6 linked regions of the Kluyveromyces lactis genome follow. The main gene of each other region encodes a partner of the protein of the gene in region 2 in a complex. Links are inferred from orthologs where the notes say so. Each region holds a gene or a part of one and is shown on either strand. Other genes may lie near its edges.

What was found. Proteins that work in one complex are often made in the same cells at the same time.
Region 1: MRPL22 (region 2) and MRPL28 share a complex: the UniProt entries of both Saccharomyces cerevisiae proteins name them as parts of the mitochondrial large ribosomal subunit. The link is inferred for Kluyveromyces lactis from reciprocal best matches to the Saccharomyces cerevisiae genes MRPL22 and MRPL28.
Region 3: MRPL22 (region 2) and MRPL3 share a complex: the UniProt entries of both Saccharomyces cerevisiae proteins name them as parts of the mitochondrial large ribosomal subunit. The link is inferred for Kluyveromyces lactis from reciprocal best matches to the Saccharomyces cerevisiae genes MRPL22 and MRPL3.
Region 4: MRPL22 (region 2) and MRPL20 share a complex: the UniProt entries of both Saccharomyces cerevisiae proteins name them as parts of the mitochondrial large ribosomal subunit. The link is inferred for Kluyveromyces lactis from reciprocal best matches to the Saccharomyces cerevisiae genes MRPL22 and MRPL20.
Region 5: MRPL22 (region 2) and MRPL16 share a complex: the UniProt entries of both Saccharomyces cerevisiae proteins name them as parts of the mitochondrial large ribosomal subunit. The link is inferred for Kluyveromyces lactis from reciprocal best matches to the Saccharomyces cerevisiae genes MRPL22 and MRPL16.
Region 6: MRPL22 (region 2) and MRPL38 share a complex: the UniProt entries of both Saccharomyces cerevisiae proteins name them as parts of the mitochondrial large ribosomal subunit. The link is inferred for Kluyveromyces lactis from reciprocal best matches to the Saccharomyces cerevisiae genes MRPL22 and MRPL38.

What each region holds. Positions count from the first base shown.
Region 1 is NC_006039.1:1,299,426-1,303,825, forward strand, and holds MRPL28 (mitochondrial 54S ribosomal protein mL40), read left to right. Parts: upstream 1-1,771; coding exon 1,772-2,215; downstream 2,216-4,400. Other genes in the region: LFT1 (Lft1p), read left to right, coding at 1-851; KLLA0_C14916g (uncharacterized protein), read right to left, coding at 895-1,155; KLLA0_C14949g (MFS transporter), read right to left, coding at 2,662-4,400. UniProt on the Saccharomyces cerevisiae protein: Component of the mitochondrial ribosome (mitoribosome), a dedicated translation machinery responsible for the synthesis of mitochondrial genome-encoded proteins, including at least some of the essential transmembrane subunits of the mitochondrial respiratory chain.
Region 2 is NC_006040.1:700,311-705,921, reverse strand, and holds MRPL22 (mitochondrial 54S ribosomal protein uL22m), read right to left. Parts: upstream 2,468-5,611; coding exon 1,568-2,467; downstream 1-1,567. Other genes in the region: RPS3 (40S ribosomal protein uS3), read left to right, coding at 1-297; SHR3 (Shr3p), read left to right, coding at 717-1,325; TDA7 (Tda7p), read right to left, coding at 2,869-4,035; NOP13 (Nop13p), read right to left, coding at 4,595-5,611. UniProt on the Saccharomyces cerevisiae protein: Component of the mitochondrial ribosome (mitoribosome), a dedicated translation machinery responsible for the synthesis of mitochondrial genome-encoded proteins, including at least some of the essential transmembrane subunits of the mitochondrial respiratory chain.
Region 3 is NC_006041.1:685,257-690,221, forward strand, and holds MRPL3 (mitochondrial 54S ribosomal protein mL44), read right to left. Parts: upstream 3,134-4,965; coding exon 2,186-3,133; downstream 1-2,185. Other genes in the region: PEX12 (ubiquitin-protein ligase peroxin 12), read left to right, coding at 308-1,303; KLLA0_E07613g (uncharacterized protein), read right to left, coding at 1,354-1,962; MSS1 (Mss1p), read left to right, coding at 3,478-4,965; KLLA0_E07679g (uncharacterized protein), read right to left, coding at 4,945-4,965. UniProt on the Saccharomyces cerevisiae protein: Component of the mitochondrial ribosome (mitoribosome), a dedicated translation machinery responsible for the synthesis of mitochondrial genome-encoded proteins, including at least some of the essential transmembrane subunits of the mitochondrial respiratory chain.
Region 4 is NC_006037.1:691,066-695,384, reverse strand, and holds MRPL20 (mitochondrial 54S ribosomal protein mL58), read right to left. Parts: upstream 2,780-4,319; coding exon 2,186-2,779; downstream 1-2,185. Other genes in the region: ribosome dissociation factor GTPase HBS1, read right to left, coding at 1-506, 822-1,077; KLLA0_A07777g (uncharacterized protein), read left to right, coding at 1,474-1,962; DEAH-box RNA helicase PRP16, read left to right, coding at 3,335-4,319. UniProt on the Saccharomyces cerevisiae protein: Component of the mitochondrial ribosome (mitoribosome), a dedicated translation machinery responsible for the synthesis of mitochondrial genome-encoded proteins, including at least some of the essential transmembrane subunits of the mitochondrial respiratory chain.
Region 5 is NC_006038.1:1,064,209-1,068,841, reverse strand, and holds MRPL16 (mitochondrial 54S ribosomal protein uL16m), read right to left. Parts: upstream 2,852-4,633; coding exon 2,186-2,851; downstream 1-2,185. Other genes in the region: APL3 (Apl3p), read right to left, coding at 1-617; RFC5 (replication factor C subunit 5), read left to right, coding at 967-2,034; MSF1 (phenylalanine--tRNA ligase), read left to right, coding at 3,221-4,609. UniProt on the Saccharomyces cerevisiae protein: Component of the mitochondrial ribosome (mitoribosome), a dedicated translation machinery responsible for the synthesis of mitochondrial genome-encoded proteins, including at least some of the essential transmembrane subunits of the mitochondrial respiratory chain.
Region 6 is NC_006037.1:613,101-617,580, reverse strand, and holds MRPL38 (mitochondrial 54S ribosomal protein uL14m), read right to left. Parts: upstream 2,603-4,480; coding exon 2,186-2,602; downstream 1-2,185. Other genes in the region: putative serine/threonine protein kinase KKQ8, read left to right, coding at 1-1,895; protein kinase NNK1, read right to left, coding at 3,064-4,480. UniProt on the Saccharomyces cerevisiae protein: Component of the mitochondrial ribosome (mitoribosome), a dedicated translation machinery responsible for the synthesis of mitochondrial genome-encoded proteins, including at least some of the essential transmembrane subunits of the mitochondrial respiratory chain.

The DNA of each region.
Region 1 (4,400 bases), on a different chromosome or scaffold from region 2:
AATTCGAAAAGGCAGGCTTCTTCGAGGATTTAGACGATACTAAAAAGGGTTCAAAAACAAAAGCCATGGTATATAAGCTAGCAGACGAGGTGATAGCCCGACATAAAGACAAACTCTTACGCATAAGAGACCCAAATTATGATAAGTGGTCTGAACCATTAAAAACCCCCATGATAGATAAATATCATGAAATCAAAGAAGAATGGAGACGTGAGGAAACGAACCACGGTTCCAGTAGTTTAAACAACAGTTCAATGACTACACAGAATGTTACATTTGCATGGAGTTCAAATGCTCATCGACCGGAGCTGACCGCACCAAAGAAGCCTTTGGAACCGCATTCCAATAAGAAATCAACAAATGAAATACTACGGAGTAAAGCAATGAAAAGCGCTCATGAATTAAGAAGTAAGCAAATTCTGCTCAATAAACTGCGGGATAAAAATGATAGAAACAATCTGCCTTCACAGGATGGTGATGATGTCAAGCCGAAATTTAAAATGGATCCCTTGGAACCATTTGTCGCCAAAGCTTTACCGAGAGAGAAGAAGAAGCGACCAAAGGAGAAAAGGAAGAGCAAATTTTGGTTTTGGGGATCCCTTACCCATCATACTGACGAAGGAAACCACAGAGACAAAGCTAGGTCGCCAGAGCTTGAAGATTATAAAATTGGTGTTGTATCACCGAATTCGCGGTCCCCCACGTTATCGATTCCTTTCTCTGATCCCGATAACACTCAGACTATTACCAATAACGCAGTATCGGACAACATTAACCATCACCTGTCGCTAATAGACCTCGACGATGACGAGGAACACTTAAAGTGTTCAACGCCACCGTTAATACTGTGATACGTACTTTTTTTAGGCCTAATATATTTATTTCTCATCCTATTTAAATATCATCTACATTAGCACTGTAACTATATACCTTTTTTTGAGCCGGCGTTATTATAACTTGTTCTCTGCGTACCGGGGTAGCCACGATTGCCTCTGGTATGTGGTTGGTGCTCATATGACCCACTTGATTGCAATTTTCTGCTTGCTCCTCTCGTAGTGCCTTGTCTTCCTTAAGAACATCTGTATACGTTGGAGGATCCTCTGGCAAGGAACTTTTCTTCTCATCAGGATATTGCTTCTGATCGTCTTGAGACATCTTTCCGTAAGTTTGAGTTTAACTGTTTACGACTCCGAATGTTGGTCCAAGGGAAATCTCAACTCTTCGAACAGCGTCGGTTCTGATTGCCATTAAAATATATTGTCGTTTCTATACATTATAAATGGTTCAAACAGGGTCCTTGATGTGCAGATTTCCCTTTAAAACCTTACAAATGGCGTAATGCTATATCATCATATATCAGATGTAAAGATGAAAAGAAGGAAAATATGATATCTAAGGTATTCCAGGCTTTGTTAGATTCAATTTTTCATTATGTGAGGTGGCATAGCAGGTAATCAAGACAAGTCGGAAGTTAATCACCTACCAGCTAGTCGAAGGGCAGCTACTCCCTGTGTACTTGAACCTTTTTAGGTCACGTGCAAAAGAGTTTAGCAGTCAAAATAATCAACAGTTCCGGGTAACAGACATTTGTTTGTTCAACATCAGTAACTTTGAAAAATTTTGAAGATTCGATGAGGTTTCAGTGAGTTTATTGTTAGCTTTGACAATAAATTGAATGACGATTAAATACGGGTTGATTTTCTGCGATAAGTTCGTGTGATAGCATACAGCTTCTCAGCCAACCGAAAGGATCATTAATACTCCATCCACTATGCTAGCGAGTGCAGCATCTCGTAAGAATGCCTTGAAGGTAGTGCAACCCTCTTTGAACTTTGTTCGTGGGAAAAGAACTAAATCGAAAGGTGGATTAAATCCTCAAGCGCAAAGAATCATTACACAACTCTCTGTTATGTCTGCTAGCAGGAAACAGCCAAAACTTTTAAAACTTTCCCGTGAAGATTTGATCAAACATGATATGATTCAAGCTTGTTGGGCGCAATATCAAAGGGAACTGAGGGAAAAGAGAACAAATCTCTTGAAACTACAGTACGAGAATATAGAAGAAGCTATGAACTTATTAGAACAGGTAGATCCCGAACTATATGAAATGGCTAACGCTGAAGAATCAGGTAAGAGGGTCCCATTGGAACTAAGGGTACCTACTCAATACCCACCGAACAATGTGTGGTATTATGATTACAAGAAAAAGGATTGAATAGTTCGTTTCCAGGCATAATGCATTAAAGGTAGAGCACGAATCATATTTCACATTATCTCTTCTAGGACACTTTTTTATCGGTACACCAAACGTGGGTTGCTCGAGAAACAACTTGTGTGATCTACAGGCAAGACCAAGTGCCACGCAATAAAATATAATGGAGATGTTGCATTATATATTGTAATGAAAGAGTTAGATAGAAGAAATGTAAACAAACCATGTAAATAAGCAATTCTACGAAATGATTATCGGCAGAATGAAGCTCTTAAGCTTTTCAAAGGGGACTTTAACCGTATTCCAAAGTGACAGTGTACTTCAGAAAAAAACATGGCTTCTGTGTATACATCGGTTCGAATATGAATAATGGTCTTGTTTACAAATAGCATTATTCATTTGACTTAGATGATTTTAGCTTGAATGGGTACATGGTTAGCAAAATGGCATCACCATACATATTTTCTCCAGAATGATTTGCCTGCGGTGTTTTCAACGTTTGGAAGTAGCAGCCACGACAAAATCATTAGTTGAAACAACCCAAGAACAATAGGGAAGAGAACCCATGTACCTGTGCGATCAGAAATAAGCCCAACTACTAATGGAACTACAGCACCACCGGAAGAACCCATTGAAGTCATGATCAATAACGACTGTGATAATATTTTCCTTGGTAGAATCTTGGGATGCGACACTAGAGCAATCATTAAGGGATAGATTGGGCCTATAAACAATCCAGATATTGTTGTACAAACCGCAGAAACATAGAAGTTTGGTATTAACCACGCCAAAAGCAACAATACTGAAATGTTTAACGTTAGTAGGAAAATGGAACGACGACCACCTAATTTCTTGTATAATAATGTGGTCAAGCAGAATCTCCCTAGAGTTAATCCACCCCAATAACCAGATGCTATATAACCTGTGCTGTTTGCATTACCATGACGTTCCTCTAAAAGGAAGGTAACCATCCAGCCACCAAGTGAAACTTCCCCACCTTGATAAAAGAACACGAAAGCGCACAGTAACCAAGTTCTATAATCTCTGATAGATTCCAAGAATTCCGAAGTTTTCTTGTAACTGCCACCTTTCTGATTTTGAAGCTGTAATTGTTCCATTTCCATCCTATGCAAGTCAGCTTTCTCATATTCAGCCAAGTCCTTAGAAGTATTCTTGTAAGACCAAAAGATGTTGAAGAAATTGAAGATAGATAACCCTAGTAAGATAAAGTAGTATTGATTCCATTTATATCCCACGTTAAGCATAGACTGAGCAAGCAAGGGTGCAATCAGGGCACCAACGCCATAAAATCCATGCATTAAAGCCAAACATGTACTAGCGTTCGTGAAACTGGCCAAAAATACGTTGAATTGAGTTAATCCAAGAGCTAAACCCATACCGTTGAAGTAAAATGCAACACAAATTACTGGAAACACGGTACCCGAAGAGATCAAAGCATACGCCACGATTTGGAAAGCCACTCCAAGCGAATTTAAGAAAGTTTTTGGAACAACTTTAACTATTAATGGCGTGGATAAAGCGATGACAACGTATCCAACAGCACAACTCATCCAGATCATAGATACAATAGAGTAAGATATGTCATAAAATTCCTCCATTTTGGGAAGCAATGCACCTGGGGCAGCATCTGACATTCCTGAAGTAAAAGTCCAAATACAACAAGCAATAATTCTAAATTTATTCATTGGAGGATCCTTCCAATTTAACCTTGACGCATCGTACAACCGTTGGTACTCTTCAGCAGCAGCCTCATCATTGTAACGTTGCTCACGAGCTTTGACTTCAAGGACTTCTTCGTCAAAACCATTAGGAGTGAAAACCAATTCATGTTCTTCAACAGAAACTTTAGAGTTAGGATCGGCTGTTATCTGGGTCTTACGCTTAGAAAATGCATCATCGAAATACCCGATGGGTTCTGCACCAGCAGAGCTACTGCCTGCATTGTCATTACTACTACTTCCATACCCGTTGGTGTATTGGGTCTTCTCACCGTTCATTCGGTCATCTGGAGTGCGTTGTTCTAATGGAACAGAGCCCAACGGAGCTCTGGAAATTTCATATCCTGGAGTATTAGGTTCAGATCCCGGGATAGTACTCAGTTTCCAATCTGTACCTGTCGTAGACACAGTTTCAGGTTTTCTGATCTTATTCTGATTTGTGATATTAT
Region 2 (5,611 bases):
GGTAAGTTGAGAGCTGCTAGAGCCAAGTCCATGAAGTTCGCTGACGGTTTCTTGATCCACTCCGGTCAACCAGTCAACGACTTCATTGAAACCGCTACCAGACACGTTTTGTTGAGACAAGGTGTTTTGGGTATTAAGGTTAAGATCATGAAGGACCCATCTAGAAACACCTCTGGTCCAAAGGCTTTGCCAGATGCTGTTACCATCATCGAACCAAAGGAAGAAGAACCAGTTTTGGAACCTTCTGTCAAGGATTACAGACCAACTGAACCAGTTGAAGCTGCTGAATCTGCTTAAATCAATTGATATCTGTTTGATTCTATATTATTAATTAGTCTATTAAATACCGTTCTTATATGTATAAATATTAAGAAACTCATCAATTCTTTTAAAAATAAGTAATCTATGCCCAGATGACATCGATTAAAACGTCCTGCTTTTATCAATGGATTTTTAAAATGATTTATCGATAGCGCCTTCCGATAATGCCTTTCCGCCTTTCAGTTCCTTTATCTTTCATACTAATCAAAAAAATTCGGTGGGCAAAAATCATGTAAATTATTAAAAAAAAAGAGAATATATAGTGCGTACTGAAAAAACCAATGGCTCAATTATAGATGAATTGTTAACCATTTAATACCACACGTAGGGTCTATACGTTCCATTTTTAAGAGAACGTAGGTATCGCTCACTAAACACATTGACTGAAAGTAAATATGGGCCTAACTTATAAGGATTTTTGTGCTGTAGGTACAGCATTGATCATTGGATCAACTACTTTTTTGATGGGGATCTTCTTTTCTAATCAACCATATGACTATAATATCCTATTCAATCCTGCTGCCACGCCGGAGCATTTTGAGAACGCTTTGAAACACTACCAGACTCTATTCTACACGGCCAAGCCAACCCTTTATATGCTTGGTGCGGTGGCCATTGTGGGAGTCATTGGTTCCTTGATTAGGGTATACAAGCCAAATCCAGATTTGCAATTATTTGAATACGGTTCATTGGCTTTGTACGTTTTGGGTATCTGTGTTTTCTTAACAAATATCAAGACCGGTGTTGAATCTGCGGTTTACCATAACTGGGGTGAAGTCTCTGAGGCGCAAGGTATTGCTGTTGTTGCCTCTTCCAATATCATTATTTTAATTGTCTTTGCTGGTGTCTTAGTGTTGCAAGGAGGTTTGTGGTACAGTACCTGGGAATATGAACAAAGATTAGATCAATGGAGGAAAGACCAATTGAAGGAATCTGCCGCTAACCAACAGAAGGCGGAGAAAACTACTGAACCAGCTAAAACGGAATCTAAGAAGAAGAAATAGACGAAATTTGTTTCCTTACAGTTTGATGCGGTGAAGTATTTCGCGTTGCTTTCACTATTTACAAGCTCTTGTTCTATATATTATATAAATGATATGAAATACTTGGCTATTCCGACATGGATAACTTGAGATGAAACCCAAAGACAATCTAAGGACCTTATTATTGATGATTTAATTGCTGTATATTATCTTCACCCATTATCATTGGAAATAAACGTAATATGATAATGTTTAATATCTCATTACCATTTGTAAACACCACCCATAGAACCTCTGATGGGTTTATCTGCTAATTGAACCCACGGTTTCTTCCTTTGTTCTTTTAGTTTGGCTTCGTGCTCTAGTCTTCTCTTCGTTACACTCTTGGTCTTCAATATGCATTTGATATGCACATATGGGTGTTCAATGAGACCACGTCTACCTCTACCCTTCCATTCGACACGTTTTTGCCAAAATCCATCACTGCCGGTCCATATCTGGGAGATGTATAGGTCATTGGCATCCAAGCCAAGCTTCACACCATCATTAATACCGCGCTCCAATAATTCGGCAACATCACGGGCAACCTTTTTATCGGAGAAATGACATTGAGTCAAAGCTTTCTTAGCGTCCAATCCGTTCAAAAGTCTAAGCAGCTGTGTGGCCTTCTTCATAGATGATTTTACTCTGTAAGATTTAACATAGACACTAGGTTCAAGCACTTCTAATTCTTCATTCGTTAATCTCAAAGAACGATCTTTAGGGCGCACGCTTTTGTCGTAAAACCCACCGTTCAACCTAACCTGTTGTTCATAGAATTCCTTCTTAACTCTTGGTAACAAAAATTCTGGTAAACTTTTGATCATGGGGTCTTGTTCTTCGATATATTTCTGTAATTGTGTATCATTGGCTGCTGTAACTTTCTTTTTAGCCTCTGCCAGCTGGGTAGCAGCATCCAAATCATCTGACAGTTCGGTAGCAGTAGTCAACTTATTAGATAGTTTATTTGGATCGTCATCCTTCAACGGATTCACTCCATCGGTGACTTCACCGAATAGCGAACCTTGTGCAGATTTTTGTAGCTGCAATGCTGAAGCTTGAAAACTTCTTACACCGGAAGCCTTTCCCAAGCCGAACAGGCTAGTTACTGTCCTCGATAGCATTAAATTTTATATAGGTTGAACTGATGACAGAGCCTGCAACTAACCATGTAATTTACACGTGCCTCTAGTATTATACTGTAGGCATTTTATTACTTTGATCAATCCTTCTTCTGTACAATGTTTGATTATCAAAATTTTTTTGTTCGATGGTTAGGAAATATAAATCATCGTGAACGGGCATGAAGATATAAGGAATGGTTCTACTGTGTGGAGGAAGATATTGAAGTCCGACTATCTTGACGGGTTGTAAGATCACAAATTAGAAAAGCGTTAGTGTGGAATTGCTAGGAATTAAACCTTAAATATGAACTATATAACTGAAGATGCACAAAGAAGTATATTGAATAGAAGGGAAAATTTAAGTACAAATTTGAAAACTTTGTAATTAGAGTTTGGTAAGATCAGTGTTCGATTAGTTCCGTTAAATATCCGTGAGCGTTCTGTGGGTTTTCATCGTAAGTAACTGACATTTCAGTGTCATGTGTACCCTCATCGGTGGAAGATGACACAAAGGATGAATGTAGTGATGTTGTGGAAGGCGTCTGAGACTCTGGATCTGCAATCGATACAACATATTCGTCGTCGAATGGATTTGTCGTCTGTGGCCTCCTGACAGAATCTGCAACATATGGAGGCACTGAGGGCAAACTTTTTGAAACTTTGTTATTATTATGAGCAGTCGTCGATACTCTGGTTGTAGTCTTGGTGGTTTGCTGAGACTGTGCAATAAACGTTCCGATATCGTCGTATCCCATTTTTCTCCCAATGTCGTGGGAGAAGCTCTTTTCGTGTTCGATAAGATTTCTCCTTCGTCTCTTCCTAAATAATAAATAGATCACCAGTATCATTAGCGCCAGACCTCCCACGCTTCCTATTACACCACCGATTATTGTATCTTTATTTGATCCAGACGATGTTGAGTTGGAATCCAATGCGCCAGATAGCCATCTTTCGTAAAAAGATGTGTCAGTCACAACTGGACCTGTAGGTGTAGTGAAAGTAGCCTCTGTGGGTATCACTGTAAGTGTCGGTAGTCCTTTAGTAAAGGTGGTTGAAGTGTCAGTAAAGATGAAATCTCGTGTGTAATAAACCACAGTTTCAGAAGACGGTACTTCAGTGGTCAACGTTAACCAAGTCGGTGTAGGCACAGTGGCAGTAGCTTCTGTACCCTCAACAGATGTGTATTCTTGGGTCGCGGTGTTCTCGGGATAAATTGTTTGCATTACTATGTTGCTCGGTCCTGAGCTCATCTCAAGTACCGTCACCATTGCCGTGTCTACATCTGTATGCGACGTTGAATCATCTGTTGACGGCGGTACCCAAACTGTAGATGGCGATACTATGCCAGGTGAATCCGAATCCGAATGTGATCTGTTTGGATATACCAGAACCGTCCTGGTCTTCATACCATGTGGCTGCTGCGTAGAATTTCCTGAGTCAGGGTTGATGTAATCCGTTCGTAAACTAGCAACGCTTTGTGAGAACGACTCCGAACTTTCTGTCAGTGTATCTGACGAAGAAACAACAGATGAATAATCAGTACCGTCAGTGGTAGTGTTGAACAACATCTTTAGGTGAACTGGCCAGTGAGATCCTGTTATAGATCTTGAAATTTAATAGTTTCCTTGGTACAACTGCTTTACGCTTGTAACGGTTTTTCGGTAAAAAAAATGATGTAGCAATCGACTTCACCCTTTCTCAAGCAACTAGCAACTTATGTATCGTCACCCACTACCTTATAAGTCCTGCCTTAGCGTCCCTTGATGGATGTATAGAGAAGTTGACGACGTTACCCTCGCCTATTTCTCCTTATGCAAGGCTTCTATTAGTAGACCTGCTTCAAGTTCTATATTTGTTTGCTGCTCTCGAATGCGTAAAAGAAAAAAAAAAAAGTCGTGCTCGCCGGTCGTGGAGAAGGATTCTCGAGACTGAGCGGTGAAGAAAAACAAGATGCAGCCTTCGACTTGCAGCAGAAGGATGATAACAGAGAACCTCAGTCCCATACGTCCTTCTATACTTTATTTTTGATAAGTATATATTCCTATGAGAGAATATAAATATGGGTATATGATCTATTTCGAACTAATATACAAGATTTTGATATATTTCATGTTTTCTTGACGCACATTAAAAAGTTGTCTTCTTACCTTGCGATGGCACAATGGCTGCAGATCCTCTTTGAGCAGAAGCCAATGCAACACTACTTTTCAAACGATTGTTAGAATCCTTGTGAGATGGTTGTCTATTGGAATAGGATGGTGCACGTCTTTCCCTAATTGGTGGTGGTGCTGCTGATGATGACGGTTGAGTCGTCTTTATGTCAAATGATGGCTTCCTTGGTTCCCTGGCATCTAACTCAGGTCTCCTTCTCACTTGTCTCTTTGATCTATCTTCACCGTATTCCATTCTAATAGGTCTGCTTGCAATCTTTCTACAACTTTTATCTTTAAGCGCATTGGTAGCACCTGTTTCGTCCTTAAAATCGATAAATGCAAACCCTTTACACTTACCAGTGTCTTCGAAAGTAGCCATTCTTATCCTCATAATTTCACCACAGTGTTGGAAGTGCTTCCTCAGTAGGTCTTCGGTAGTATCAAACGACAAATTACCAACAAATAGAATTCTGGATGGTGGGTTCTTTGATGCAGCTACTAGATCATTCTTATCTGGTCTTCCTTCATAACTGCCAGCGTTCTTGATGAGCAAGTTTCTTCCGTTTAGTGCACTTTCACTCAAACCAACTACAGCTTCCATTTGCTTCTCAGTTTTAAAATCAATGTAAGCAAAACCTTTATTTCTGAGTTTCTTGTTGTCATTCTTGGTCAATGGCATGTTTATTCTAACAATATCTTTCTCGGTAATAGCACCTCCTTCGTCATTCTCCTTTGTCTTTGCAACTATAAACCTAATTATATCTTCTTTCACGGTATCAAAAGCCATATTTCCAACCCAAACACCGAACTTCTTCTCCTTATTAGGTTTGGAAGTTATTTTTTCCTCCTCGACGTTGGTCTCCTCTGATGAACCTTCTTTTTTATTGGATGTATCTTCATTATCCTGTTTCTCGGCGGTTTCTTTCTTGTACTCTTCGATAGATTTCGAGTCAATGTTGTATTTAGCGTTTAATTCTTCAATTGTAACCTT
Region 3 (4,965 bases), on a different chromosome or scaffold from region 2:
CGCATGAAATGATCAAATGAAGACATCTGAACCATTAGTTACAAAATGATTGGCAGGGATCCGCTGTGCATCGGATACGTTCACCAGTGTTATCCTTGGACGCTACCGAGGACTTACCTGTTATCGAACTGCATTTGTCTTTTTCTCTCACGTGATCGACTTTGTCTCATAGTCCAGTTTGGCTTAAATATGAAAGCAGAGTTAAAAAACATAGGAACAGTTACAATCAAACAAAGTCACGTTCATAGTCCCTTAACACAATTACAACTCCAGAAACAAATACAAGAAACAGGGAGGACTCAAAGCGATGGATTTTTACTCCAATCTCCCGGTGAATTTACAACAACCGACTTTATTCGAAATACTCTCTGTCAATGAAGTGAAGAAGTTAATCAAACCAACTTTAAGGTATATTTTCTCCATTTATCTCCAATATAGAGGACCAACACGATGGCTGTTGAAGATTTTTAATAAATTTGACTTCATAATCTTGGTGATTAAATCTTTGGTTGAATACAGACATTATAAAACAACAGGTGCCACAATTCTTGACAAGTTCTATGGATTGAAAAGGTTTTCTAGATTCCCTAAATTAACCTTTCTAGGAATTTGGTTGAATGACTGTTTATTCGAATACGTTAGTGATATCTGTGAACAATACCATGAGCTCTTGCAGTCCAGAAAATTGACGAGCCCAGAATTGAGCTCATGGCAACAATGGTTTGATGCCTATTATCCTAAGCTACAGAAGACTATCAAAGTGATAAATTTCTGTTTCAAATTAAAGTACTTGCGTCATTCAAAAGACACTGATATGATCCATTTCATAACACAAATAAGATACCAACGATACCAAGAACCCGAAGAAGGAATTGCAAGTAGGAAAAATACTTTAACTCTTTCTGAACGTCGTCGTAAAAGAACTAATTTACCCAGAATATTAGCTATGACCAAGGATGCAGTGGAGAGCACATCGACCATGTTCTTGGACAAGTTATTCCCGAGCTTCCTAGTGATGATCAGAATTTTACAAATTATCAATCAGCGGCCTGAATTATTCAAGAAAGAGATACGAGTAAAGAGACCAAAACCTCCAGTACTACCTGGCGTAGCATCAGAGGTGGATAACAATGATACGACTGACGTATGTCCCCTATGCGGCGAAGAAATAACAGAACCTGCCATGATTTCATCTGGATATGTCGCTAATTTAGAGTGTGCCAAGAAATGGGTAAGCACAGAAAATACATGTTTCGCGACTGGTGTGCCCATAGATAAACGCATCCGTAAGTTATTAATATAGTTTTGCATTAATTTAGTAAATGAATAATGAGAATAATTGAGCCAGTAGCATTAGAATAATTCTGCATTGGTTTCCATTTGATTGAACATCGTTTGCATCATCATTATATCAGATTCCAGCCTAGAGATTTCTGAATCTAAGTCTGGAGCCGATGTTCTACTGTATCTTAGCTTTAATAACCAAATTTCTTTCAAGATTTCATCGCTTGGTCTATCATTATCTTCAAGATATTGAATCATCCTATCCAAATGATCTTTTAAATCACGTTTTAATAGTTTTAAATCGGAATGATCATCCTGAATTTCTACTCCACAGTTGATTAGCTTATAAGGATATCGTACACTCTCATGCCATTGTATCAAATTGCTAGTTTCAGGGAAGTAATGGAACTTGGATTTAATAATGTATTGTTTCGAATTCAACGACTGTAACATGTCATCGTAATCGTAAATGTCCGGGTCAACCATTAGGATTCCAATTGGATCAGAGGATTTCCAGCTGAAAAGGCTGAGCTTCGTATCAACGTTTCCAACTCCATCACACAGAAAACACTGTGATGCTATTTCATTTTCCAATACAAGGATAAATAGTAACGGACCTCCTTTACTTTCAATGATCGTCGAATTAACTTGCAGCAGAACTTCCTCCTTCAAATCCATATCTTGATCAAATAATGCAGAACAGGATCTAGCTATAAATAAGGCAAGGCCTCAAGACACAACTAAGTTTCGTACAACCTCCTTTTTTATTTCGTTCGAGTACAACAGTGTATGAATTACTATTATGTATTTGTATATTATATTTACAGGGAAAGAAATCTTTAAAAGTTGATCTCAACTGAAAAGGATTATGTGGAAAACATACATTGCTGATGCGGCCTGTCTATACTAACACTTCGCCTTGGTCAATAACGACATTCTGTTGGCCATGCACTGGTTCGTAACAGTACCATTTCAACAAAGCGTCTGTAGCGGCTCTGGCTTTAGCTTCTTTCAAAGATGAACCGTAACCCTCGCCTAATTTCTCTTCACCACTGAAAACGCCAACGATGAACAAGGGTGATTTAGACAATCTACCGTTTTCTGCAAGTAGTTTCGATACCGGTCTTTCCAATCCTTGGCGACGGCACAAAGCTGCCAGTTCTCTGGTTGGTTGTTCGAACGCGAACAAATCTTTAACGTCCAGCTTTCTGGACAAAATATGATCTGCGATAAACTTATGTGTCTGGTTGAAATCTTTGTCGACACTGTATACAGCGGCGAATATACTCCTTACGGCAACTGCCATAGCATTGTTCTCAGTGAAGTTATGCAATTCATCTACGGAATTTTGGAAATAACGTAGTTTACCCAATGTAATGGTAACATTTTCTTTCTTTGCATATCTATCCACTACACTTTGAGTTTCCGGTTCTATACCCCAGGAACGACCGACATTGCTCAAAACATGGTCGTTAATATATGCATCCACAGCAGCATTCAAAACCACACCCGGTAGCCTAGGATATTTTTTCATTAGCTCGGATGTAACTGCCAAAGTTAAAAGACTCTTACCAAAAATGTTCAAACTGACATTGTCATAGTTCACTTCCCCACTAGAACGACACGTCAAACATCTGGACAAAAGAGAATAGGATAAGCCTTGAGGCAATCTTAATCTGGAATGGAGTGCAACTAAATTGGGGCTTGTTAGTTCATGTGCAGGGTTCTTTAACAGTGTACTGATGGTATTCTTATATTCTTTCAATGATGACAGTTCTGATTGGTACAACCTGGCACAAGAAGCAAATCCTCGCACTCGCACAGGGTTCAATAGCTTCAAAACAGACATCCTTCTTTAACCCCCCTCGATGGTGATGTTGATTGCTGTATATATCAATGGCAAACCTCACCAATAGCTCACTGCATCACTCAACTTCTTTCCATCCTCTCTCTGTAACTCTTTCACTAAAATTTTTTTTCAATATTTCGATACTGAGATCTGCAATTACCCGGATATAGTAGACTGTTGATGTTTTCCGAGTAGTCACGTGATAATAATATGTTTTCACAGACATCTCATTATTCCAGATTCTTTCTGATACGGCGCACTTATGCTATGGATTGTCGATGAATCGGTAGCTAAACATATTTACAGACTATTCTAAACTACCATAAATTGCAGTTGGAATCGTAATGGTAGTCTACAAGGATCCCACTCTCATTTGGTTCAATTTTTCGCAAAAAGTGATGTTCAGCCCAATGTTGCGACGGTTTTATAGTGTTCCAGCGACATTTTTCCATCCTACAGTGTATGCATTATCAACGCCATCAAATCAGCACTCTGCAATAGCTATAATTAGGATATCGGGTACACATTCAAAGTATATCTTAAAAAAATTGTCGCCAAAAAAACCGCTACGGCAGAGGAAACCGATGATTCGGTCATTATATGATCCCAAGGCATCAACTCTGATAGATGAAGCGTTAGTCTTGTACTTCCCACAACCACGGACCTTTACAGGTGAAGATTTAGTGGAATTGCATCTACATGGGGGGAAAGCTATTATAAAGGCAGCGTTAAACTCAATCCAGGGTTTGCGGGACTCTGAAAGAGATATTCGTATGGCGATGCCGGGAGAATTCAGTCGACGAGCTTTCCAGAATGGGAAAATGGATTTGTTGAAGCTTGAAAGTATCAACAATATGATTCATTCAGATACAGAATTACAGCGATTGTCTGCATTGCATGGCAATCAGACCGTAGACATTTTCCATGAATGGCGACAAGAGATTATAGAGCAGATCGCTAAACTAACTGCAATTATTGATTTTGGTGAAGATATCGAAACGGAAGATATCGATTCTATAGTGAATGGTGCCAATGATAAACTTTTACAACTATACAAAAAAGTGACTCGATTCATGGTGAAATTAGATAGAATGGCTGTCTTGAACGATGGGATAAAGTTAACATTGTTGGGTGAACCAAATTCCGGGAAGTCATCATTAGTTAACGAAATATCTCAAGACGACGTTGCGATTGTCAGTGATATACCGGGCACCACAAGAGACTCTATCGATGTAATGATGGACATTAACGGTTTTAAATGTATCTTGACTGACACGGCAGGGATCAGACAGGGAACTTCAGATTCTATTGAGATCAAAGGTATTGACAGATCCAAAAAGAAAAGTTTACAAAGTGACTTAGTGGTATTGGTCATTGATGTATCTAACCCAAATATAAGTAAACATTTTGAAGAATTTATCAAGGATAACTTATCTGATAAACCTTTAATTGTCGTGTTGAATAAATCGGATTTAGCTACTGAAACCCAGTTAAAATACTTAATTGAAAAGTTCGATGCAGAATTTAAAGCCCTGAAAATTCATACAGTCTCTTGCTTAACCAAAATTGGATTGGAACCATTAGTTAAGACCTTGACATTAAGTTTCAGAAGAATCTCGGCAACTGAGAATGAAGATCCAGTCACCGTGTCCAATAGAGTCAAAGAAATTTTAAGCACTGATATTCTATTCGGCCTAGATCAGTTCTTCCAGCACAAGAATGACGATATATTAATAGCTTGCGAATCACTTAGAATAGCTTCCGATGGAATTGGGAAGATAACTGGTGATAACGTTGACTTGGAAGAGGTTTTAGACGTTGTCTTTTCGAAG
Region 4 (4,319 bases), on a different chromosome or scaffold from region 2:
TGCCAGAATTTCGTTTATATTACTGACATATGCTGAATCTTTCAATTGGTTAAGTATGACCCATGGGTCATCCTTATCTTTCTTTTCATGATCTATCTTATTTTCTTCGATGACCACCTCTACGTTCGTTTCTTCCGCTTCGGGTTTCTCTATAATCTGTCCCTCAGGTTTACTTTTCCTGAGTGATGCCAATTTTGATGCCAATGTGTGAGTTTTCGGTTGTGAAAAGGATGCAGTTGCAGCGCCGTTACTGTTATTGTCAGTAGTAATGGGTCCCCTTTTAAGTGATTGCAATCGACTAGCTACGGATACAGTTGTTTTTACAGGATTACCATTTTGTCCATTACCACCTCCGTTCTTGAGTTTGTCCAGAAGAGAAACCTTAGTTGTTGCAGGTGCCATTGTTGAAGCCTTATTCCTTGCTTCTGCACGTTTCCTAGCCAGTAATTCTAAGGCCGATAGTTTCTTTTCCACTTTCTGTTCTGCAAACAAACAAATAAATGATACTTAGTTAGTCATATAGCTCATTAGAGATGCAATACAATACACGCTGTTCAATCAAGTCAATTGTTTTTTCTTCTGCTGCCCGTCCGAAACACAAATAAGCACCACGTTCACGACCATCATGATCAATCGACATGTCCAGCTCCGTTAGTACAATATATCATAACCCTCTTCCCGTCCACAAAGAAGATAAAATACAAGATAGGCAGACCCCCCTAGTACCAATTTTGTTTACCATGGAAGAACCAACAAGAAATCATAACTGAAAACACGTAAAAATATAAAACACCGCCACGTCCAATGCCAATTATACATACCCTTTTTCTTGAATCTTCTCTTTAAATCGACCAATGCAGGTTCTAACTCGAAATTGTGATCAAAAATCGCAACTTTCACGGCCAAGTTATCCCAACCCTGATAATCAGCTAATTGCTCCTTCGCCAGGGGAAACAACTGGTTCATCAATTCAAATTCTTCATCGTTTAAATAATCGTCAAATTCATCCTCGTCCTGGAAATCAGGTACATCGTCGTCATAATCCACAGCGTCATCATCGTCATAAAACTTAGACATAATAAACTGCTTCGCTTAGTCAGAGAATCAGGCAATAGACGGTATAATTCGAGTTTAAATGCAGGTTGAACCGAATAACAAGAGAATTGCTTGCGATTAGAAACCTTTTGTAATTGAGATTTTCAGATTTTTTCAGAAACTGTTGATACTTGTCACGTGACTTTAAAAATTTCTTTATCAGTTGCTGCGTCGACATGCAATCTCTTTATCGATGAGATGAGATGAGTTGTTATCGATAGCATGAAGTGAGTTGTAAACAGTGCAGTTTGTCCATTAGTACATTCTTTTTTTGGTCAAGAAGGTAATTCCCGGTAGGTGATTTAACAGGTGAACGAGTTGAATTTCCTAGGTAATATTTTGAAGAGAACAGAAGTGATATAGCCGATACGTTTTCGGATGACAGTTCCGGAGAATGTGCTGACAACGCATCAACGAGTGATACAGAGTTGTGTTTTGTATAATATCGTACCGCGAAGCATTGCAAGAGCGTGGGAACCCCAGCATTTGCTATGGAAGGGGAAGCTTATAGTAGACGAGCTTTTGCATTTGGATGGGTCCAATCAGTCGACGATGATGCAACCGTCGCTGTACAGGTTTCGATTCGTTTCGGATAAAGAGGACGGAGTTGATAAAGAGGATATAAACAGCGACGAGAGGTTGTTCTGTGAGACGCAGGTGATATCGAATCTGAAGGAGCTGCATACGGTATTGCAGCGGAGGGAGAAATGGTATCAGATAGCAATGTTGTGCGAGGGACAGCATAGGCATCAGATTGCATTGGAACTACAAATAAAAGATGCGTATCAGATGCAGTTATTCGAAGATATAATCCTGAGAATCCGAGATGAGTACGAAATTTTCCAAGAGATGTACGATGGGTATTAGTGGTACTAATGTATCATTTTTTCCTAACGATAATGACCCCAGCTGTAACTTATTGAGATAGACACTAATTTTTGCACGTCTTCCATTGTATTATATTACATGCATATATATAGATGTTATAAGCCATTTAATAGAGTTGATGACTAACGATTGAAACATAAGGTCGATGGTTATCTTATTACTATTTACAGATATACAGTATGTTGTTTTCTTTTACCTTTTCTCATGCTCTGTACCAGAGTTCCTTTCTCTTTTTTCTTTCGGCTCTGGCCAATGCTCTCTTAGGATGCCATTGGCTCTTTATCGTCTCAAGAACTTGATTCATTTCTGTCTTTCTTTCCTTGGGTGGTTCAGAAACAATAGAGATGAACAACGGAGAACAGTTGAACTTCTTTGCTAAAGCTTTTCTAGAGTTTTTCACCGGGTCCTCCAGTCTTAGTCTTCTAATCTCAGCGATGTCTTCAGGCTTCAAATGGTAGGTCTTCTCACCCTTCTCATGTAACACTGGCGCTACCCTCGATATCTCTGCGTTACCTTGCGTTAGGTCATCTATAATGTCGTGCCTTGGATCAGTGGCCGGTAAGAAAGATTTTGGAATCGTTTCTGAGTTAGTAGAACCATGGATAGAGGATGGAGCTGGATCGTAATATAGACCTGCTGGAATCTTGGCTTTCAAATAACCTTTGTAATTGGAGGCAGATGATTTTGGATTGTAAATGGTAGCTGGTCCAACGATCTTAGGTAACTTACCTGATTTATCAATTATCTTTGAAAGATCCTTGGCCGCACGGGCGCTGGTCGAAAATAGTCTCACCATACTGTAGCGAATATGTCAAATGTAATTTCTACAGCGTAATTGGGGATTATAAGCCTGGTGTAAGGGTCTAAAACTTGTTATTTAAACTATCAATCACCATGTTTCGCACTGCAGACTCTAAATCTTTCAGTTTGATGCTTTCAAATTTTTCAGATAGAAATCCTGATGAGACAGACAGGATTAGTATGGGAAAACAGTTTATTTCGAGAAATATAGGATTATTCTAGTGGATATACCTACCTGAAGATGCTTCTATATAATATCGATTAGTACTATGAATGAGTGTGAGCTGACCTGTTAAAATAGGGCTTATATTGGCGATATTATGCAGCTTTTAGAAGTGCCAATTTGGACTATTCTGTATCTTTTGTCACGTGAAAGCCGGGTAATCCCAACATCAACATCAAATGTCGTTCCTATTCACAACAGGAAGAGCTGAAAGGCTATGAGATGGGACAAGAATAATGGCATAAACAGTCCTTGTGATACTTCATTAGCAGCTCTGTCTCATCAGGTTTTACGCCAGGTGGTAGGTTTACCAAGCAACAGAATTAGATGAATGCAGAACTTCAAGAATGGATTCAACAGAATACGGAATCAAGAGTGACAGAGAAGTTTGTTGAGACTTTAAGGCAGATTGCACGTATTCATAAGGATGTAAACAAGTTCATCGGGGGTGCTAAGGCTTTGGGGAAATTTAAGGGCAAAGATGAGTTTTTGAAGCAACTTTTTGAAAAATTACAGGCACATAAGCAGTCTCCAAAGCCAGAATCAGCGGCTGTTCCAGCAAGAACCATAAGGAAAAAATTTGTGGTTAAACTTCCGTTGGATGACAAGGAAGACGACGATGAAGATGAGCTTTCTACTGTGAAGGTACAAGTGAAACCAAAATTCAACAAGCCTTTGACTTTGAAACGTATTACGAAGCAAACTGCAGCAAAATTGAATGAGTTTTCAGAAAACACTGAACCAGTGGTCATGGTAAAAAAAGAAGAAGCGACCAAAGGCACACTTATCGATGCAGAAGGTAGTGATGTGGAAGATATAAAGGACGCCAAGGATTTTACTGCACAAGATAGAAATTGGTACGATAATGATGATGATTTTGATAACGTCATTCACGATGATGAATATATACCAGCTCAGCAAGATCCGTACGAAGGCGGCGACAGAGAGCTTGACTTGAATGAACCTGAAATCCAATTAACTTCCTTATCGTTGAATGAGCGTAAAACCATTATTCCTCCGTTTTTACTTGATTTCCATGACCAGTCAGGAGAGCTTGCGATAGTGGGTGCTTTGGATATGTCTTCAAATGCAAATAAGGGAATAGCAGATCCGATAAGAAACCCTGAGAGCGACTTTTCTATTAATGCAAGGAGAGGCAGCAAGCTTGTAGCGATGAGGAGGATTCATAGAGATAGAAAATCTAAATCTCAGAACGCTACCGAGCTAAAAGGTAGCGCCTTAGGTAAAGTTCTAGGAGTAAAACAAGATAGTTCAACTGACGCGCAAACTAAGCAACCTAATCAGCCCATTG
Region 5 (4,633 bases), on a different chromosome or scaffold from region 2:
ATCCATAGAGTTCGTTTATTATCTTCAAGATTTGTAAGGATTTGCGGTTTATAACGAATTAAAGTTAAAAACGCCAAGCATGCTTTTCTTTTCAAAATGGCTGATGAGACAGGAGATCTAAGAATTCCGAATATCGTCTCACTTAGATTATCAGCAAAGATTTCATCACGATTCCCAACTATTCCGACGAAGTTCAACGCCAAGCTTACTGCATTAGCGTCGCCAGATGATAGATCCAGTTTCAAGCATGAAATAGTCTTCTCCAGGACGCTGTTTCTCACAACAGCATGGTTGAAAAGGAGTTCAAGTGTCATATAACCAATCCATTTTTCACTGAAGTTACTGCTTTTCAACAACTGGAAACATTGATCCAATCCGAATAACAACTCAGGAACCATGCCAGCATTAGTAGTGATATATATATATGCCATCTTAGCAACATATTTTTTCCTTTGATACCCATTGAGCCCACTTTTCTGGGTAAACTGAGTCCGTATATTCTGTAGTTCAGTTTGTATTCTCCTAGCATGCTCTTTAGTCTTCTGGTTTGCTCGAAGGTCTGCAATGAACAATTGCAAACCCTTCATGTTGTTCTGTTGATTCTGACCTAAAGCCATTGTTAATTTCTTGATTCTGACTTGTAAGACACCAAATAACTAGGAAGATAATCAAGTGGCACTGCTAATCGATAACAACTAGTAAGTGTACAGATAAAAATGGTACCTACTGCTGGTATACTATCTAACTTGATGTTGTTGTTTTAAGGCTATTGAAGTTACGTCTACTTGAAATCATTTGAATTTCAAAATGTCAACGTGAAGAAACGTTTGGCGAAATTGTTAATAAAACGCATCACGAAAAGTACTTGAGAGACAATTAATCAAAACGCATAGCAGGCGAACGAGCCATTCCAGCGAGTTACATTGAGCTACATCGACTAACAAGATTTAAAATTCCTATACGAGAATGTCTTTGTGGGTTGATAAGTATAGACCAAAGACTCTACAGTCATTAAGTTACAATGAAGAATTAACAAATCAATTGTACTCATTAACGAGACAACCTCAAGATCTTCCACATCTGTTGTTCTATGGACCCAATGGTGCTGGTAAGAAGACTAGATGTATGGCACTGTTGCAAGAAATATTTGGTTCTGGGGTTTACAAGCTGAAGATCGACGTTAGACAGTTCGTCACACCATCCAACCGTAAGCTGGAGTTGAATGTAGTCAGTAGTCCCTACCATTTAGAGATTACTCCGAGCGATATTGGTAACAACGATCGTGTTGTGATACAAGAATTGATTAAGGAAGTCGCTCAAATGGAACAAGTAGATTTCCAGGACTCCAAGGATGGTTTGGCACATCGTTACAAGTGCGTTATCATCAACGAGGCAGACTCGTTGACTAGAGATGCCCAGGCAGCATTAAGAAGAACTATGGAAAAATACTCTGGTAACATCAGGCTTATAATGCTATGTGATTCAATGTCCAGTATCATTGCTCCTATCAAGTCTCGTTGCTTGCTAGTTAGAGTACCATCACCAAGTTTGCAAGAAACTGTGTCTATCCTGCAGGATTGTTGTTCCAAAGAAAAAATAACTGCCGAGGGCAATTGTCTAGAGAGGATAGCGAATCTGTCAAAGGGGAACTTGAGAATGTCACTCTTAGCACTAGAATCTACCTCACTACAAAATGAATTGCATTTAAGAAACGATACACCTTTGAACAGACCTGATTGGCAATTGGTGATCCATAAAATGGCTAGGAAAATATTAAAAGAAAGAACTGTTAATAACCTTGTAGAATGCCGTTCCATAAATTATGATCTATTAGCCCATTGTATTCCTGCCAAAACCATAGTCCATGAATTAACGACGCAATTGCTTTCAGATGCCCAGTCAGATCCGTTGAAGTTGGCAATTATCGATACTGCATGCACTTTTGATCACCGTCTCAACCTTGGAAACAAAGCAATCTACCATTTAGAAGGGTTCATTGCAAGGACAATGTGTGAAATAGATAAATATACGTAAGTATTAACTTTTGTAGTTTGACAAACAACCAAACTTTACTCATTTGGGACTTTAAATCTTGAATCTTTGATAGCCTATTTACAGATAGTGGGATTAGCTCTCACAAAAGTTATACGTAAAAGAGTCGTTTATATACACACATCGATCTATTTCAACGAGCCCTGAACATTCTATATTCCGGTTGCTGGGACTTCAACTTTGTAATATATTCCTTTGTAGGTTTCTTCTTTAGTTCTTCAAAGTAATTGATCTTTGGATCGTCCTTTGGATCTTTTACACTCTTGATACCTACTCTTACCAGAGAATCTTTCGATATGAATTCGTATAGGCCAGGAAGCTTGGTTGCTGCCTTTCTAAACGCCTCACGTGCTACTTTCTCGTGTAGATTGTCACCTGCCATCTCAAAGATCACTTTACCGGTGGGTACTCTGACCATCCAATGGTCAAATCCACCCTTACCTTTACCCATTCTGGTCTCATTACCCTTGATACAAACAGCAATGTTTGTACACAAACGACGCCATAATTGACCGTTATTCAAAGGTCTAACGTATCTCATAATAGCATTATCGGCTTCCTTCAACTGTAACGCAGTAAGTCTCACACCTTCAGACTTCAATCTTAAACCAAATTGACCAAATTGAAGCGAATTACCCTTAGTAGAGCCACCGGTACGCACTGGCACACGACCCTTTTGCTTCTTAGTCTGGTTCTTGAAACGTGGAGCATATTCATGTGTAAAACGCCTAGCGGTTACTTGCAGACTTTCTAATGGATTTAGTGAGCGAAATCCAGTCTTGAAAACGCTGGAAAACATGGTGATCTAATTTACGATAAAGGAGGCTCACTGATCTGAAATAAGATCCTTGCAATGAGGCGCGAGGGACTGTTTTATGCTGCTTTTCAAATCAATTTCTATGCTCTGGATCTTCTTTTACTTACTCTTAAAGCTTTTCATTATTGAAAAATTTTTGGTGAAGTTGAAGATATCTTGAAATCATGTGACCTTCTACATACATTCAAAAGAAGATACAAAAGTCTCGTTAAACAACACTTGATATACCTGTTCTGGTGATTTCAGGCAGTGAAATATCACTAGTAATATCATTGCTAAGGGATTACCTTTGTTTTGTTGATTGAATTGCCCCAGTTTTACTGTTATTAAGGGTTCTTTAATACCGAAACGATGTCGAATAGGACGATATTGTCAACTTTGAGACCATGTTTAAGGTTGTTTAGCACCTCCAATGTGGCATTACAGACACTTTCTGTGAATGGAAAGACGTACCCAGTATCAGATAAGACGAATGTAACTAGTTCGATTTTGAATTTGACTGATCGCGCTGTTTATTTGAAACCATCACACCCTGTTGGGATCTTAAGAAGTGTTATCGAGGACAAGCTGAACGACCCTCATCACTCATTCGAGATCTATAACGATTTCAAACCTGCGGTTACGGTACATGAGAATTTTGATTCTTTGGGATTCCCAGAAGATCACCCCGGTAGATCGAAATCTGATACCTATTACTTGAACGATTGTCATCTGTTAAGAACGCATACATCTGCCCATGAGTTGGAATGTTTCAAGAATATCAATGGGTTTGTTCCTGGCCATGTGGGTAAGACTGATAAGCCTGGATTTTTAATCTCTGCCGATGTCTATAGAAGAGATGAGATTGACAGGACTCATTATCCGGTGTTCCATCAAATGGAAGGTGGTAGAGTTTGGAAAAGGGAACCGGATAACCAACATTTATTAAAGATTAAAGAAGATCTCGAGAGATTGGAGAAAACTTTGGCAGACGACCCAGTGAAACTTGTCGTGGAAGATAACGTTTCCTTGGAAGGTAATCCAAAGCAGGAATACATGACGATGGAAGAAGTCGATTTATGTTCTCGCCATTTGAAAAGATCTTTGGAGCTTGTTGTATTGGAAGTCTTCAAGAGAAAGTTGGCAAGTATGGGTAACGTGAAGGGAGAAGAGTTGAAGGTTAGATGGATTCAAGCTTATTTCCCATGGACTGCACCATCATGGGAAATTGAAGTGTTCTGGCAAAACAATTGGCTTGAGCTCTGCGGTTGCGGTCTTATCCGTGAAGACGTTTTATTAAAAGCTGGATATGAACAAAATCAAAACATCGGTTGGGCTTTTGGATTAGGCCTTGACCGCATTGCAATGCTATTATTCGAGATCCCTGATATCAGATTATTCTGGACCCTTGACGAAAGGTTCCATTCCCAATTCAAAGAGGGCACAATCAACAAATTCAAACCGTACTCTAAATATCCAGGTACCATCAGGGACGTGGCCTTCTGGCTTCCAACAGATAAGAACTTTGACATTATCCATGAGAATGATCTAATGGAAATCGTTAGAAACGTAGCAGGAGATTTGGTTGAATGTGTCAAATTAATTGATTCATTCACACACCCCAAAACCGGTAGAAAGTCATTATGTTACCGTATTAACTATCAATCAATGGACAGAAACGTCACCAACGAGGAAGTCAATGAGCTGCAGGATAAAGTTCGTGATACCCTGGTGAAACTATACGGCGTTGAACTGAGATAACCAAGATACAAAATATTATATATA
Region 6 (4,480 bases), on a different chromosome or scaffold from region 2:
CTTTCGGGAAGAGGCAAAGCTCATCGAATAGATCGTCATCCTTTTCAAATGAGGAGCAAGAGCCAAATAATAAATATCCACTACTAGAAAAACTAATGGGCGATTTGGATGAGATGGTATGCGGTAGTATTGATACACAGCTTTCAAAATCTCCTGACACCGTAGAAGCTTCGTCACTGAGAAGATCGAGATCAACGCAACGGAAGAGACTGAACTCGTTTTCACTACGTCCAAGGGCATTGTCTAATCCTGGTCAAAATCCCAATCATCCAGTCGAGAATAGAGAAAGGTCTAATACATCAAGTATTGATCTGCTTATGAGCCACGAGTCTGAATCTAGAGCTATTTACAAGTCGGATCAGTTTAGTGTCTATCCTGATGGCCATCATGCTCACCACTTGAAAGTGGTGCCTATAGTACATGATTTAGAGCAATCTTTGAACAAACCTAAGAGCTCGTTTTCATTTTCTGGTTTTTTTAAGACTCACCGTACCATTGCCGATGATGGAGAGAATTTGGCGACAGCATTGTCGTTATTGCCAGCAAACCGGTTTAGTTTCCACAAGAGACTCAGTCAGATAATAGACGAGGAAAACGGTAATCATAATGCGGATGAGGAACTTGAGCATAATGGAAATAATGGTGTTGATTCCGATTCAGATGCGGATTATGACAACCAGTCCTCTGGAAATTCGAACCCATCTGATGACGAATCCGAATCTGATGAAGATGGTTATAAGGGACCAAATAAATCAGCCAATGTACCAAAGATTGTTAACGAAAAATCCGTCATTGGTGCTAACGAATTGAAACTGATAAACCAATTAACCGAAAAGATCGATAACGGATTTTGTTTGAAGGGCTCTAAGTCTGATGCAGTTTCCTCCAATGAACCTTCTTCTGCTCCACGAAAGCAGCATTTATGTGAGAAATACGGGAAGTCGATCGGTATCATTGGACAAGGTGCCTATGGGGTTGTAAAACTATGCTATAAATTTATTGACCCAGATGAACCTGATCTGAAAGATAATACATATTTCCATGATAACAAGTTATTCTATGCGGTAAAAGAACTGAAGCCAAGACCTGATGAGCCTCCAAAGAAGTTTAGCACAAGACTAACCTCAGAATTTGTGATAGGATTATCGTTGAGTGGTGGTAACAAAAGCAGAAGATCTTCGGCAAGAACACATCCTAACATTTTAAACGTTATTGATTTAATGCAAACACCTAACGCATTTTATGAAGTAATGGAATTTTGCCCTTCAGGTGATCTATACAGCTTGATTACAAGAAGCTCAAAATCTGATTCAGTTTTACATCCATTAGAAGCAGATTGCTTCATGAAACAACTACTACATGGTATTCAATACATGCATGCTCACGGTGTAGCTCATTGTGATATTAAACCAGAAAACTTGCTATTTCTCCCTACAGGTGTATTAAAAATATGTGATTTTGGTACAAGTTCTGTGTTCCAAACAGCCTGGGAAAAGAAAGCACATTTCCAAACCGGACCAGCAGGATCTGAGCCTTATGTTGCGCCTGAGGAGTTTATTCCAAAACAACAATACGATCCAAGACTAGTTGATTGCTGGAGCTGTGGTATTATCTACTGTGTTATGGTTTTAGGCCATTATTTATGGAAAATTGCTATCAAAGGCAAGGATTCAGTATATGACGCATTCCTCGAGGATATGGAAAAACATGGACAATATTATGTATTTGACGAAATGAAACATGTGTCTCCAGGTATGAACCGGTACAGAACTGCTGCACTTTATCATATCTTCCAAGTTGATCCGAATAAAAGGATAACGGTGGATTCATTGCTAAAAAGTTCGTGGATGAAGAGGACAAAATGCTGCGTTACATATCCACCAAGGCCGGTGTAACACCAAAATTTGTTTCATAGCTGAAGGCCTTGCTACTTTGGCAGATTTAGATTAGTTTCTTTCGCATCATTTTTATCTATATTTAAGATAAACATACATCTCTTTGAAACACTTATAAAATATTGATATCACTGTCAATGAGCAATAAGTTGGTAGTCGCGTATCCATCATATTTATCATGGCATTTTCATAAACTTTACTAACGATATTTTCTATTTTTTATTATCTATATACATGATTCTAAAAGCCCTGCGCAGTCGTAATCGATATTTACCAGTGGTGAAACATATTTACAAAACTTTACTTGCTAGAGAGCAAATCTTGTTGTAGCCCTTTTCCCTTAGTTCTCTGCCGACAACACCATCGTTACCCATAATTCTTGACCCTAGAGGTTCACCATTATTCTTGTTGATTAATACACAAGCATTGTCACCGAACGCAATTGTTGATCCATCAGGACGTATCATATTTCTTTGCTTGGTACGTACCACCACAGCGTGTACAATATCACCTTTCTTCACTCTGTTGTTATTGGATTGCCCAGTAATAGTTTGTGTTAATGGTTTAGCCTTCTTCACCACACAGACGATTTTGTCACCTATTCTACCTGGAGATTTTGGCGAACCTTTTCCAAGTACTTTGATACATTCGGCAATTTGAGCACCTGAGTTGTCAATGACTTTCAAAAAAGACTTCAAATAAATCATGTTATAACAGTCACAGTGTGAACTTCAGTTAGGTCGTGTGCTGCAGGCTGCTACTGATCGGGAAAGCACAGCTTTTCTTCCTGGACTATCGTTAGAGAAAGGATTAAAGCTTTCTATGTCTGGTTTCATCAAATTTTTTCTTAACCCATAATTGATGTATATCACGTGATTGATTTATTATTGGCTAATCAACGCCATTATCAACGCTTACTACATACAAATAAAGTGCTTACAACGCCGTCATTGTTAAGACAGCTGGTGTTTTCATTAGTTATCGTTATATACTTCAGTAAAATTATTAAGTATTATGCTGTTGAGAATGGTAAAACATCAGAAAAAAGGTCAATGTAACAGTATGCGTTACTATTAATGCTATTGGTATGCTTGTTGAATTAAAAATTAAGGGTTATAACTGACAAGGACAGAATAGTAGAAAATATTTTGTTAGTTTAGGATTAGTTTCAATGCTTACCCAGAGCTACTTTCACCATATCAAGTTCCCATCTCCGGGTTAAGTCTTTCGTTAAGCAGCCCTTCACTGCGTTGAATAGACCTTGGAATTCCACCTGGTCATCTACACCCAAGTTCGAGTTCATATCACAGTTACAAACTTGGCGTAGTGTCGTTTTATCATATTTACCTGAAGTTATTATTGCACGAAGTCTGGGCTCGTATTCATGTTTAAAAGGTAATTTGCCGGTAAGCATGGTGAAAATTAAAACACCAATGGCCCATATATCAGCGCTTGGTCCAATGGGAGGAGGGTTGGGTTCTAGTAACTCCGGAGCAGCGTATGGTAAAGAGCCAATTCTGCTCATGTCATCGTTGATATGTTCATGCAAATCTTTGTTAGGTGTTAATGTAATGTCTGTTTTTTGGTTCAACGAGCTGGTTAGGTTAGAACGAGTGCTCTTTGGTACGGAGTGAATACCCAAAGTCGTATCATCATGAATTAATTTTTTATCGTTCACTATTTGTCTTAACCTTGATTTCAACCGTAAAGAAGAATTATTCGTTGAAGAGGAAGATCTTGGAATTGAGGGTCTTCGTTTCAAGTGAAGAGTAGACCCATCAAATAGGGATTTCAGTTGAATTGATTCATTTTCCATCTGATCTTTGAAATGGCCATAAAAGTGACTCATGCCAAAATCGCATAATACAAGCTTCCAATCTTTGTAGTTCTCAGACTTTTTTTCTAGAAGGCAATTTTCCAACTTTATATCTCCATGTGCAATGAATTTAGAATGCATATATTGTACAGCATCAATTAATTGTAACGCTAAGGCGGATGTAGCTTGACACCTTTCTCTTAAACTAATCTTTGAATTACCACATTCGCCCCAAGAAACAACTAAATCGTATAAGGTTCCATGATCGATCTTATCTGTTAAACAATATGCCACCAGATCATCGTCTAATTTCCATTTTGTTAAAGGAAGAATATTATTGTGGGAAAGTTTCGACCATATTGAGATTTCACGTAGTACTTGCCTCTTTACACTTCGATTGTCCTTGAACTTGATAATCTTCATCGCCTTGCAACAAGTATTATTCTGGTTTTGAGATTCATCTGTAGAAGGGAAACATTCCCTGATCATACCCCAAGCGCCGAACCCTATTATTTTGCCAAGTCTATGACCCAAAATGAAAGACCCTTTATCGTCCCTCTTGAAAGAACTAGAACCGGGGGTAAAAGAGTTCAAGTATTTCGATGCAACTGATCCATGTCTGGATCTCACGTTATGTGTTGAGCCACTGTGGCTTAATTTCTCACGTTTCAAAATGTTCATAATAGTCTTATAGTCATGGTTGGGACTTAAATCCTGTATGATCTTCTTACGTTGGGAAAATGGCATATTGATGAAATCCGATGGAATA